Linked DNA regions of Lonchura striata. The protein of the gene in region 1 purifies or fractionates together with the protein of each later gene. This does not show direct contact. Links are inferred from orthologs where the notes say so. Each region holds a gene or a part of one and is shown on either strand. Other genes may lie near its edges. The genes, in order: TSSC4, PRPF6 and ECD.

Evidence for each region.
Region 2: the proteins of TSSC4 (region 1) and PRPF6 purify together in Homo sapiens (affinity purification with mass spectrometry; 3 studies listed by BioGRID and IntAct, counting the BioPlex papers as one, with this or other methods). This does not show direct contact. The link is inferred for Lonchura striata from reciprocal best matches to the Homo sapiens genes TSSC4 and PRPF6.
Region 3: the proteins of TSSC4 (region 1) and ECD purify together in Homo sapiens (affinity purification with mass spectrometry; 3 studies listed by BioGRID and IntAct, counting the BioPlex papers as one, with this or other methods). This does not show direct contact. The link is inferred for Lonchura striata from reciprocal best matches to the Homo sapiens genes TSSC4 and ECD.

What each region holds. Positions count from the first base shown.
Region 1 is NC_134608.1:47,080,827-47,084,570, forward strand, and holds the start of TSSC4 (U5 small nuclear ribonucleoprotein TSSC4), read left to right. Parts: upstream 1-1,021; 5' UTR 1,022-1,149; exon of another isoform or gene 1,150-1,200; intron 1,201-1,550; exon of another isoform or gene 1,551-1,745; intron 1,746-2,473; exon of another isoform or gene 2,474-2,546; intron 2,547-3,536; 5' UTR 3,537-3,624; coding exon 3,625-3,744. UniProt on the Homo sapiens protein: Protein associated with the U5 snRNP, during its maturation and its post-splicing recycling and which is required for spliceosomal tri-snRNP complex assembly in the nucleus.
Region 2 is NC_134619.1:6,854,750-6,858,493, reverse strand, and holds the start of PRPF6 (pre-mRNA-processing factor 6), read left to right. Parts: upstream 1-969; 5' UTR 970-1,087; coding exon 1,088-1,158; intron 1,159-2,139; coding exon 2,140-2,308; intron 2,309-3,125; coding exon 3,126-3,244; intron 3,245-3,722; coding exon 3,723-3,744. UniProt on the Homo sapiens protein: Involved in pre-mRNA splicing as component of the U4/U6-U5 tri-snRNP complex, one of the building blocks of the spliceosome.
Region 3 is NC_134609.1:37,290,389-37,294,132, reverse strand, and holds the start of ECD (protein ecdysoneless homolog), read left to right. Parts: upstream 1-1,523; coding exon 1,524-1,719; intron 1,720-2,925; coding exon 2,926-3,043; intron 3,044-3,400; coding exon 3,401-3,488; intron 3,489-3,744. Other genes in the region: primary cilium assembly protein FAM149B1, read right to left, coding at 447-558, 699-850. UniProt on the Homo sapiens protein: Regulator of p53/TP53 stability and function. Inhibits MDM2-mediated degradation of p53/TP53 possibly by cooperating in part with TXNIP. May be involved transcriptional regulation. In vitro has intrinsic transactivation activity enhanced by EP300.

The DNA.
Region 1 (3,744 bases):
GAAACTACTGCATGACTCCAGCTAGACAGGAGGCATTTTGCAATAACCTCATCACTGCTGCCAAGTGTGTTCCAAACACAGACCTCGTGTCATAAATTACTGTAATTAGCAACACTCCAGCAGGCAAAAGTATGTATTTAAAAACGAAGGATGCACATGAAGTGACTGCAGTTTATATTATGTGTGAGTCACGGCGAGGCAGAGCTTGAAGGGAGCCAGTGAAGCTCCTGCAGCCACAGCATTGTCTGGCACAATCCTTTCCAGCACAGCAAACCTTTTCCTAAACACAGGGAAAACAAGCTGAATAGTGAAGCCTCTTGGGAAATGTATTTGCGCTGAAAATTTCAACTTTTTTTGCTGAAATAAGGGGAAAAACAAAAATCTAGTCTCTTTGGCCGGCGCCAATAAAACATTTTCAGACAGAGCCCCACTTCTTGACACACGCGCAAAAAATGTTCCTCTGGGACGGAAAATGGAAACTTTTTTATTTGGATGGATAGTGGTTTTATGCCTCAAGTGACTTCGGGTTTTCTGGTTTGAGAATAAACACGTAAGAGAGAGGAAAAACAACAACAACAACAACAAAAAAAGAAACCAAACAAAGCAAACAGAAAACTTCGGATGTGTTCGTGGTGGCCAAGCCCTGCTGTTCCGATGAGAACAAAAGCTGTGACATGGGTTTTTTTCTAGACTGCGACTGCGGAAGGCGGCGGCGGTGCCGTGTCCGCCCCTCACGGCGCCGGGGCGGCCCCGCGGCTCTCCGGGGTGCACGGGCGAGCCCCGCACCGAGCCCCGCACCGAGCCCCGCACCGAGCTCCGCACCGAGCCCCGCACCGAGCACCGGGCCCCGGGCCCCGAGCAGGGCCCGCACAGGCTGCGAAATGTCGGCGCCGCGGTGCGCCCTGGGAGCTGTAGTCCCGCCGCGCAGCGCCGCCTCGCCCCGCTCCCCGGCTCGCAAAATGTCCTCCGCCGAGGCGAGACGGCCGCCTACAACTCCCAGCAGCCCCGAGAGAGGCGGGGCGGGGAGGCGCCGGCCCTTTCCGCGCCGCGCTGCCCGCCGGGAGCTGTAGTCCTGCCGCCGCCGTGGCCGCCCCGTGGAGCAGGGCAGAGGGACTCGGTGTCCCGGCGCGCCGCGGGCCGTGGGCGGAGGTGGGCAAGGCGGGCGGCTGCTGTGGAAGTGTGGGGCTGTGCGGTGTCGGGGTACGGGGGCTCCCCCTTCCATTCCCCCCTCCCTTCGCCTCCCCGGCGGTTCGCGCTGCGTGCCCGGGCGGGTGGCGGTGGCCGGGGCGCAGGGCCAGCGAGGGCCGCGTGTGGGGCGGGCGGTTCGCATCCAGCAGCATCCCGGGCCGCGAAGCGCTCTGGGGCCGGGACGGGCAGCACAGCCGGGGCCGCACCATCACCGTGCCCAGCGGCCGGTGCTCTTTTCCCTGTTCCTCTTCGCTGTTCCTCGGCGCGGGGGCCTGCGGATCCCCGTCCCGAGGGGCTGTGTGGGCTTTGGCGCGGCCCGTGGTCGCGGTTTGCGGTGTCTGAGGTCTCCGTCCTCCGCACAGAGCAGCGCCAGGATGGAGGAGCCCGCTGGGATCGTTCCCATCCGGAGGGACGTCATGCTGCCCGAGTCGTGCTGTGATCGCGTCACCGTAACACACCTGTGAGTGGGTCTGGTGTGCTGTAAGGGCCGGCATGTTTGGCCACCAACTTTGTTAAGGCCAAAACATCTCCTTAGGAGCAGAATTTCTCCTTTCTGTGTAAGTGCCCTCAGACAAGACATGGCCCTGATGATCACTTCTATTGCCATCTGAAAACAGCTATTTTATTTAATTGTGCACTTCGAGGCCTTTTCTGAGTTGTAGTCATTACTTTTCATATGTTCCAAAACTAAGCAGAAGGCTGTATCATTTTAAGAAGATTATTTCCCACTAGGAGTTACATGGAGGGCAGTGTTTTCAAAAGTAGCCATCAGATCCTTTCTGTCAAAGACAGCCAAACTTGACATGGAACATAGCACTCCTCAAAAGGTCTCTGTGTTTTGTGATTCATAACAATCTGGCCCTAAATTTGAACGTGACGTTTCTTTGAAAACAAAAGTCTCTGTTACCCATGGTCTTAATACTTAGCAGCACTTAATGTTTACAATGCATAACTATTATTTTTGTATCTTAGCTGCATTTAATACTGTTTATTTACTCTTTTGCACATGCAAATTACAGCTTGATTTTTTTTAAAACCTCCCTTCTGTTCTACAGGATAAAGTTGGCAGTGTGAATGTGAAGGCTGGGTAAATATACTGGTGCCTATGTTATTAGGCTGTGTGCTGTTCTTCTGCCAAAAATTCAGTAATATCTACAGACTTTTATACCACTATGAGTTTGTGTCAGATTTAGAACCCAGTTCTGCAGCTTTGGATAATTCAGGGGGACAGAATTATTTTTAAAACTACATTTCCAGTATCATGATGGAAATGTTTATTTTCTAGGGTGGAAGTGCTGAGATCTTTGGTGGCTTTAACTGACCCTCAGGAGGGAAAGCTGACTCAGTCTCAAGAGAAAGTGAGTGACTAACAGACTGTCCATGTCTGTTTACTGCATCGTTACAGAAGAGCCTATAATTAGGTAGTCAAGCTTATTCTAATAATATGTTAGAACTGTTTCCATAATTCACGTGAGCTGAACCAAAATGTGTGTGTGCACCAGCTCTGTTTCCAATTGCCCAGCAAGTGGTAGCTGGGTCATCGACCGCCAGAATTCAGCGAGATTCCCTTCAAGCAGGTGGCACTGTCAGGTGTTCCAGCTGCTCCTGGAAGTCAGGCTTCAAATCATGCTGTCATTTACTGACTGAAGGGCCAGCTCTTGCAGGCCTGTGGTTGCAATCTCTCCTAGTTTCCATGTGTGAGCCTGGTATGTGTAATTAGATTTCTTAATCCAATGGGATTGATTTCTTGAGCTGGCTGGTTTTCCAATTCCTGGAATCTAGTAATGACTTAAGAGAATAAAACCAAAGGAAGGAGTGGAGTTTGTATTTTATGCCACATTTAAGCAGGCTTAAAACAGCGGCCCTTTTATTTTTGTCATCTGTCACTGATGGCTGTTGGGACAGCAGGTACAGTGCTAATGCAGTAAGGGTTGTACTGGCCACAGGCAAGTGTGAGAAATTGGATGTGTTTTTGTGGATTTTTACAGTGTGAGTAAACACAGTGTAATATGCAGAGTCTTGGAAGATGTACAAGACAGGGATTCAGATTAACTCAAGAGCTTTATGTTCATCTTTTAGTAATTGCATCTGATGCAACCTGTAATGAAATTTGGTAGCATTACTTTCAATTACTTCATATTCTTCTATTCAGTCTTGTGTAAATCTTTAATTTTAATGTGCATTCATTCCTTAAATAATGCTTTCATTTGAAGCAAAATTGCTTGGGAATCCCTAAAGCACAGCTAACTGTTATATTGCAGTTATAATTACTTTGCATGACACAGAGTGATGGTCTCATTCTTGGTTCTCATTTCACAGTTAAGTTTTTATGCTCCTTTGTATTCTAGGCACTAAATTTGCTGGGCATTTGGAAAAGCGTATTTAGAGTTGTTCCTGGGCCTACATCAAAGACCTCAGTGGAGTGACAGCTTGAAGATGGGAGACCAGGAGGCAGGTGAACCTTTTCTGGGGATAGTGGCTGATGGTGGCAAAGACTACGAAGGAGCTCTGCCCTCAGACACGGTGTCACTCAGCGATTCTGACTCTGATGACTTG
Region 2 (3,744 bases), on another chromosome or scaffold:
ATTAGCAGGAGGAAAAGGGGGGAGGCAAAGCTCACACCTCGGGAAACAAGGGTGAGCAGATGGAGGCTTTGTCCTGCTCCAGCCCTCCTGGGATGATCCTGGCCCTTTTTCCCCCTTTTCTGCCCCATTCTGCCCGGGGGTTGTTAAACACAGCTTTGCTTCTCACAGGGCCGCACGCCACCTGGGATGTTCCTTAGTAGCTTCCTAATGACAATAAAAATAACGAATTGCTATAAATGTGAAACTCCATGACAGCAGAGCTCAACGTCCCTGTGAAAAATGCATGTTTTATGATTGGCTTTTCACAAGTATTACAATTAATATTATATGTGTAATGTTAGAAAGTTATGCTGTATAAATTCTCTTAAGTAGTGTGTTAAATATAGTTTTAGGTTCCAACATAATGTAAAAATAGAGACTACCTAAGTGGGGGGACTTTTTTTTTGGGGATGAGATGCTTGCTTCGAGGAACACCTAAATCTTCCAGAGAAAAGGAATTTATGGTTTTCTGATCAGAAGAAGCTAATTTCTTCAGGCCTTGCTCAGACTCGAAGACGCCTTGGGGATTAAAGGAAACAGTTGACATACAACGGACAGAGGTCTTGTTTTAAATAGAATGTATGCATAACCATGAAGGATATATGAATATACAACAAGTGTATTGGTTTAAGGGGGATTCCTTTGTTCACAAGGTATGCTTCTCATGACTGAGTGTCCCAGAGCAGCCGGACGTCCGTAATTCTTTGCTTTTTATTGTCTTGTAATTGTCCTAACTCTAAACCTTATTCCTCTAATTGTATTGCTATTTTTACAACCATTTTATTATTATTAAACTGTTAAAAAAATGTTAAAAACCAGGCGGTTGGCGGTTTTTCACAACCCCCACGCCCTTCGTCCCCGCCACCCTCATCGCCCTCAGCGCGCCTCAGCCCTCCGCGCCGCCAGGGGGCGCTGCTCCGGCGGGAGCGGAAGTGCCGCTCCGGCCTCGCGGCGCCACTTCCGCCGCCGCTTTCCCGGCCGCCTCTCCCGGCTCTGCTCCGCTCCCGCCCCGCTCTCGCCTCGCTGTCGCTTCGCCGCCACCGCCGTCATGAACAAGAAGAAGAAGCCGTTCCTGGGCATGCCCGCGCCCCTGGGCTACGTGCCGGGGCTGGGCCGCGGGTGAGACGCCGCCAGGCCTGGCCTGGCCCCCCCCGCCCCGCCGGTCCCTTCACAGCCCGGTCGCTCCGCCGGGCCTCGGGGCTCTCCCGAGCCCTTTCGCGGCCCGGCTGGGTCACACCTCCGTGCGCCGCTCGTCCCCGTCCCCTCGGGGTGGCCCGCGCGGCTTTTCAGTGTTGTCCCTTCCTGATGGCTCCCGTTCACTCTCTGGCTGGGCGGGGTTGTGTTAAAAAGCCAGCCTGGCTCCCAGGATGAGTTCCCGGGTGCTTCAGACCGGCAAAGGATTGTGTCCCTCCTGATTCTGTGACTGTGTGCGGGTGGGAGCGTCTGAAAAACGATCAAACCTGGGGGCTTTTATTGATGGAACAATGAGGGAGTTTGGTGGTGGCTGAGATAATTTTTAGGGTGTTGTTTGCTGGGTGTGAGTTGTGTTCATCCCCCCTGATTTCCTATTGCCTTCCCTGGGGAGATCCTGCTGGCTGTGCCCCTCGGGGTGCTGCCGGGCCAGTGTGGGGGTTCAGCTCCAGCTGCCTTTGCCCTGATCCCCAGCCTGTGGTGCCCCACAGCCTGCAGGGTCAGCTGAGAGATCCAGAGACAGAATTCAGAAAGGGGCTGTGCATGGGATGGGTGGCAGTGCTGTGAGCTGGGTGGTTGCAGTGTATTTGTGGGAAAAGTTCTCCCTATAAAAGGGTGCCTAGAGAAGCTGTGGCTGCCCCACCCCTGGAAGTGTCCGAGGTTGGATGGGGCTTGGAGCAATTAGTGGAAGGTGCTCCTGCCCATGGCAGGAGGTTGGAACGGGGTGAGCTCCTTCCAACCCAAACCATTCCATGATTCCAAGGCTGTTTTCCCTCTGGCTTTACGAAAGCTGGTCACGAGGAGCGCCTGATGCCGTTCTCCCAAAGGAATGATGTTTTCCCTGCCTGCCCTGAGCAGTGGCTGTGGCAGGCTGGGGTAGCAGTGAGCTGAGCAGGTTTATCCCTGCAGAGCCACGGGCTTCACCACGCGCTCTGACATCGGCCCTGCCCGCGATGCCAACGACCCCGTGGACGACCGGCACGCCCCGCCGGGCAAGAGAACCGTGGGCGACCAGATGAAGAAGAACCAGACCGCAGATGATGATGATGAGGATTTGAATGACACCAACTACGACGAGGTGAGGAGGTTTTCATCATCCTGCAGCTGTTTTTCCCCAGGTGGAAGAAGAGTCCTTGAGCTCTTCTGCTCTTGCTATGAGCCCTGCTCCTAGCTGAGGCTTCAAACCCAGAGTTTCCCGTAGTTTGCAGGCAGCATTTCCTTTTTTATTTATTGATTGAGACCTCAGTATGCACAGTGGCATGGTGCTTACAGATTCTTGTTGTGGCCTTGCTCCATGGATTGTGGTTTAATTGCTGATGCAGAGCCCTGAGAGTTTTTGGAAAATATCTATAAATAAAAATTAGTTTAAGTATTTCAGGTTTTTTTTTTTTATTCTTCACAAATGAAAGCTGATGTGCTTTGACAAGATTGGACTTGATGATCTTGGAGGTCTTTTCCAACCTAAATGACTCCGATTCTGTGCCATATATTGTCATTAAGTGGCCTGTATAGTCTCTTAAGTCCCACTTTGGTTGGTTGAATGTTGTGATACTATTTCTGCTTGCTTTCACTGGTGTAGAAAGTGGTTAAAGGAAGAGAATGGCTCTTCTATCCTGGGATCTCATTTATTGCTGAATAGAAGTGGTTTAGAGAAAGAAGCAATTTTGTAGCAGTTTTGCTTCAAATGGTGTGGGAGAATAAACACCACCATGGGATGGTGTTTATTTATCCTTCTGGAGGATGCTTTTATTTAGGGATGTGTTAATCTGATGCAATGTTGTCAGAAGCAGCCTGTGAATGCATTTTCAGGTGATTGTTGTTGCAGAAACATAACAGGAACTTAAAAAACCTGCCTTTTTTTCCTCTTTTTTTTCCCCTCTCTCTCCAATTTCCAGTTCAATGGCTATGCTGGGAGCCTGTTCTCAAGTGGCCCCTATGAAAAAGATGATGAAGAAGCAGATGCTATTTATGCAGCTTTGGACAAGAGGATGGATGAACGCAGGAAAGAAAGGAGGTAGGATAAGCTACAGCACTAGCAGGGGGTGTTTCCTGGTTAATTGAGGATGACAGGTATTTTGCACCACTTGCTTTGATAGTGGATGCCATTAAATTACTTCACTGTAGTTAATTAAGAGTCCCTGTAGTTCATTAAGATGGTGTGGGGAGATGCATCACAGACTGCACAGTAGATTGGAAATTGTTAGAGGAGTCACCTCATGCTTGTAAACAGTATGTGTTACTTGTTAAATTCACCTCTCATTAAGAGGAGGTCAGAGACTGAAGTTCACTTGGAGATGTCTGTTTTTACACTATAATACTGTCTTATTTGATAAAGGATCTCTTGTTGTAATGTTGATAATCTAAGATTGGAAAAAAATGCCCTTTTTTATGCCCTAACTCTTATCAAACACATTCTTCTGTTATGTGAACACTTTAATCAAAGTCTTGCCAAGTGCTGCTTTGAGCATGACCTCAGTATTCCTTTTCCTAAGGGAACAACGAGAAAAAGAGGAA
Region 3 (3,744 bases), on another chromosome or scaffold:
TCTGACCTCCCAGAAGGCAACACCACACTAGGCTTTGATGGAAGGATAATAAATCAAACATTTCTAAATGAAAATCATGTTTTAGGAGCTTACTCTATTTTGAGAAACATGCAAGGATGCAGAAGTTTGATAAACGCACGCCAAGTATCTCAAAGTCATCCAGCCATGGCTGGGGTTCCACAGGAACAGCATTTATAGATACAATTATGCACTAAATGATTTACATTTCCAACATTTTTAGTGGAAATGCAGAATATTAACAGAATAGTATGAGCCTAGTGTGTTTTAAACTGAAAGATGGAAAGCAGTAAAAAAGGTATTCTTTCTATAATCACTACCATGATTTTTTGACAGATCCAATCATTTTTGTTCTAACATGTCTTTGCAGTGGTATTTCAAGTGTCTTTCTGTGCTCGATTTGGCTTGGATGATTATGTTCTACTCACGTCATAGCCCCAGGAGAAGACTGAGCTGTCTTCTGTGGAGGTGTCAGCCCAACCCTGACTAGCAGTCCGTGGATCCCCATGATCATCCGATCCCTTATGGATTCCCGACTCCCTGAAACGCGCACGTCGAGCCAAAAGCAAAACCAAAAAGAAAGCAAAACAGCGGACAATAAACAATGAGAGATCGAGTGTGTCAGTAAACAAAGCCCAGCTGGATCAGAACAGCTGGATCAGAGGTATCAGGACAAGTACCTGGAGGTCTGGGCGAGGTGTTCAGCCGTGGGTGTGGCTGAGCACACCTGAGCCCCTGGCTCTGGCAGTGGGTGATGCCTCAGGGCATGTTTTGGGAGTCCTTGTCTGAAAAAACAGCACTGGGACTTGGCACAACTTACAAGAATAAACATTGACCGAGTTCCCAGTAAGTTTTATAGGTTTCTCTTTCCTTCTTTTCAAGGACTGTGCACACATTTATGACTATTACAAAGCTAATTCTTGTCACCAAAGCTCTAGGTTTAAGGTGTGAAAACTAACTCTAGGATAAATATGGAGTTAAAGGTCTTGCTTCAAAATCAGTTCAACTTAAACCTAACATGCTGTGAACTGGCCTACAGCTCCCTAAAAGCAGAGACAACGCCATTATCCTTGTAGATTAATTGAGTTGAATTAAATAGAACAAGAGTAAACGAGCCGAGTAAGTCAGAACTGACTAAATCCTTGGGTCAGGAGAAAAAAAGCCAGTTACAGGGATTTAATCGCGTTCTGTCACACCGGTGTCTGCTCGAGACCGCTGCTCGGGAACCCCGGGAGCCATCTGCCGCCGGGGACATGGGGTGACCGGGCCGTCACAGGGCCCTGCTTGGCGCAGCGGGGAGCGCGGGCGGCAGGCCCGGGAGCGGGGCCGGGGGGATCGCGACCGGGACCGCGATGGGGCTCGGGGCCGTGCCGGGCCCCGGGGGAGCGGCAGCCACTCACGCCAGCACCGGTTTCCGCGCGTATCGCGATATCATCCTCAGCGCCGCCGCCCCGCCGCCGCCATCGCGCCGCTGCTCGCCGGGGGCGGAGCGCGGCCGCGGCGCGATGGAGGCGCTGCGGCGGCCGGCGCTGCCCGAGGACGCGGTGCGCTACCGCCTGTTCGCGGCGGCGGCGGCGGGCCCGGGCGGCGAGGCGCTGCTGCGGCGCTGCGCTGAGCTGGCCCTGCTGCGCTTCGCCCCGCTCCTGGCCGCCTACGTGTGGCAGCGGCAGCCGTTCCGCCTGCGCTACGTGCCGCGCCGCGGTGAGCCGGGAGCGGGCCGGGAGGCGCGGCGGGAGGAGCGCCCGGAGCGGCGGCACTGGGAGGGGGACCCGGGAACCGGGAGCGTGTGAGGGGAACTGCGGGAGTGTGAGGGGCTCCCGGAGGTCGGGAACCGACGGCGTGTGAGGGGAATCCGCCGGGATCTAACCGGGAGCGTGTGAGGGGAACTGCGGGCATGTGAGGGGGATACGGTGGCCAGGAACCGAGAGCGTGTGAGGCGGACCCGACGGCCGGGGAAGGGGAGCGAGTGAGGGGGAACCGGGAGCGAGTGAGGGGGAACCGGGAGTGAGTGAGGGGAGCCGGGAGCGAGTGAGGGGGGACCGGGAGCGAGTGAGGGGAACCGGGAGCGAGTGAGGGGAACCGGGAGCGAGTGAGGGGGAACCGGGAGTGAGTGAGGGGAGCCGGGAGCGAGTGAGGAGAACCGGGAGCGAGTGAGGGGAACCGGGAGCGAGTGAGGGGAACCGGGAGCGAGTGAGGGGAACCGGGAGCGAGTGAGGGGGACCGGGAGCGTGTGAGGGGGAATCGGGAGCGAGTGAGGGGAACCGGGAGCGAGTGAGGGGAGCCGGGAGCGAGTGAAGGGAGCCGGGAGCGAGTGAGGAGAACCGGGAGCGAGTGAGGGGGAGCCGGGAGCGAGTGAAGGGAGCCGGGAGCGAGTGAGGGGAGCCGGGAGCGAGTGAGGGGAGCCGGGAGCGAGTGAAGGGAGCCGGGAGGCGGTGAGTGGAACCGGGAGCGAGTGAAGGGAGCCGGGAGTGAGTGAGGGGGAGCCGGGAGCGAGTGAAGGGAGCTGGGAGCGAATGAAGGGAGCCGGGAGCGAGTGAGGGGAACCGGGAGCGATGAGGAGAACCGGGAGCGAGTGAGGGGAGCTGGGAGCGTGTGGGAGGAACCGGGAGCGAGTGAGGGGGAACCGGGAGCGAGTGAAGGGAATCAGGAGCGAGTGAGGGGAACCGGGAGCGAGTGAGGGAGGACGCGGCGGCTCCACAGACTCCTCTCAGTGTCACGGCAGGGTTAACCCAGTGAGGAATCTGGTGCCACCTCCCCGCTGCAGCAGCGTCATCGCAGAGCACAGGACTCAAGATTGCTCAGCAGGGTCTGGAGTATCCCCAGGGAGGGAGACTCCGCAGCCTGTGTGGACAATCTGTTCCTGGGCAGGGGCTGCTGAGCCACCGCTCCTCTCTGTGCCCCGTCCAGGCGAGACCCCGGCGCACATCGGCGGCACCACCGTGTTTGGGGATAACGTGGAGGATGAGTGGTTCATTGTGTACCTGCTCCGGGAGATCACCAGGGAGTTCCCGGGGCTGGCAGCCAGGTAAGGCGGGCCCTGCTGAGGTGCTTTAGTGGGAGGGCTGCGAAGGGGCAGTGCCTATGCTGTGAAGGTCCTGTCTGAACATTCCCCGTCCTTGGAGCTGTTTCCCCATCCCATTCATGTTTGAGGTGTCCAAGGGCAGGTTGGATAGGGCTTGGTGCAGGCTGGGCTAGTGGAAGGTGTGCCTGCCTGTGGCAAGGGTGTTGGAACCAGATGATCTTCAAGGTCCCTTCTAACCTAAGCCTTTCTATGGGGGGTCTATGGTGGATATTAAAAATCCTCAGCAGACATGGATTCAGAAGTGTGTTGTTGTGCTCTGCAAAGCTTTTCCTGCTAAGAAACTAATTTCTCCTTGGCCAGGATTGATGACAACGATGGAGAGTTTCTTTTGATAGAAGCTGCTGATTTTCTCCCAAAGTGGCTGAATCCTGAGAACAGTGAAAACAGGGTGAGTAAAACTTGTATACAATTGGCAAGGGGGCCACAGTAGCCTTTTATGTAGCAGCTGGAGTTTCTCTTGCACTTCTAGCCAAGTGGTCTGGCTGCCTCTGAAAATCCAGAGTGCTGTGTGTCCCTTACTGTTGCTCCCTTCAGGAGCACTCCTGTATCCACCTGAACTTTCTAGCTCTGCTGGAACCATTTGGATGATTTTTTTTTACCATGTTCAGGAGTGTTTAGGCAAGAGGATTTGCTGCCCTCAGAGC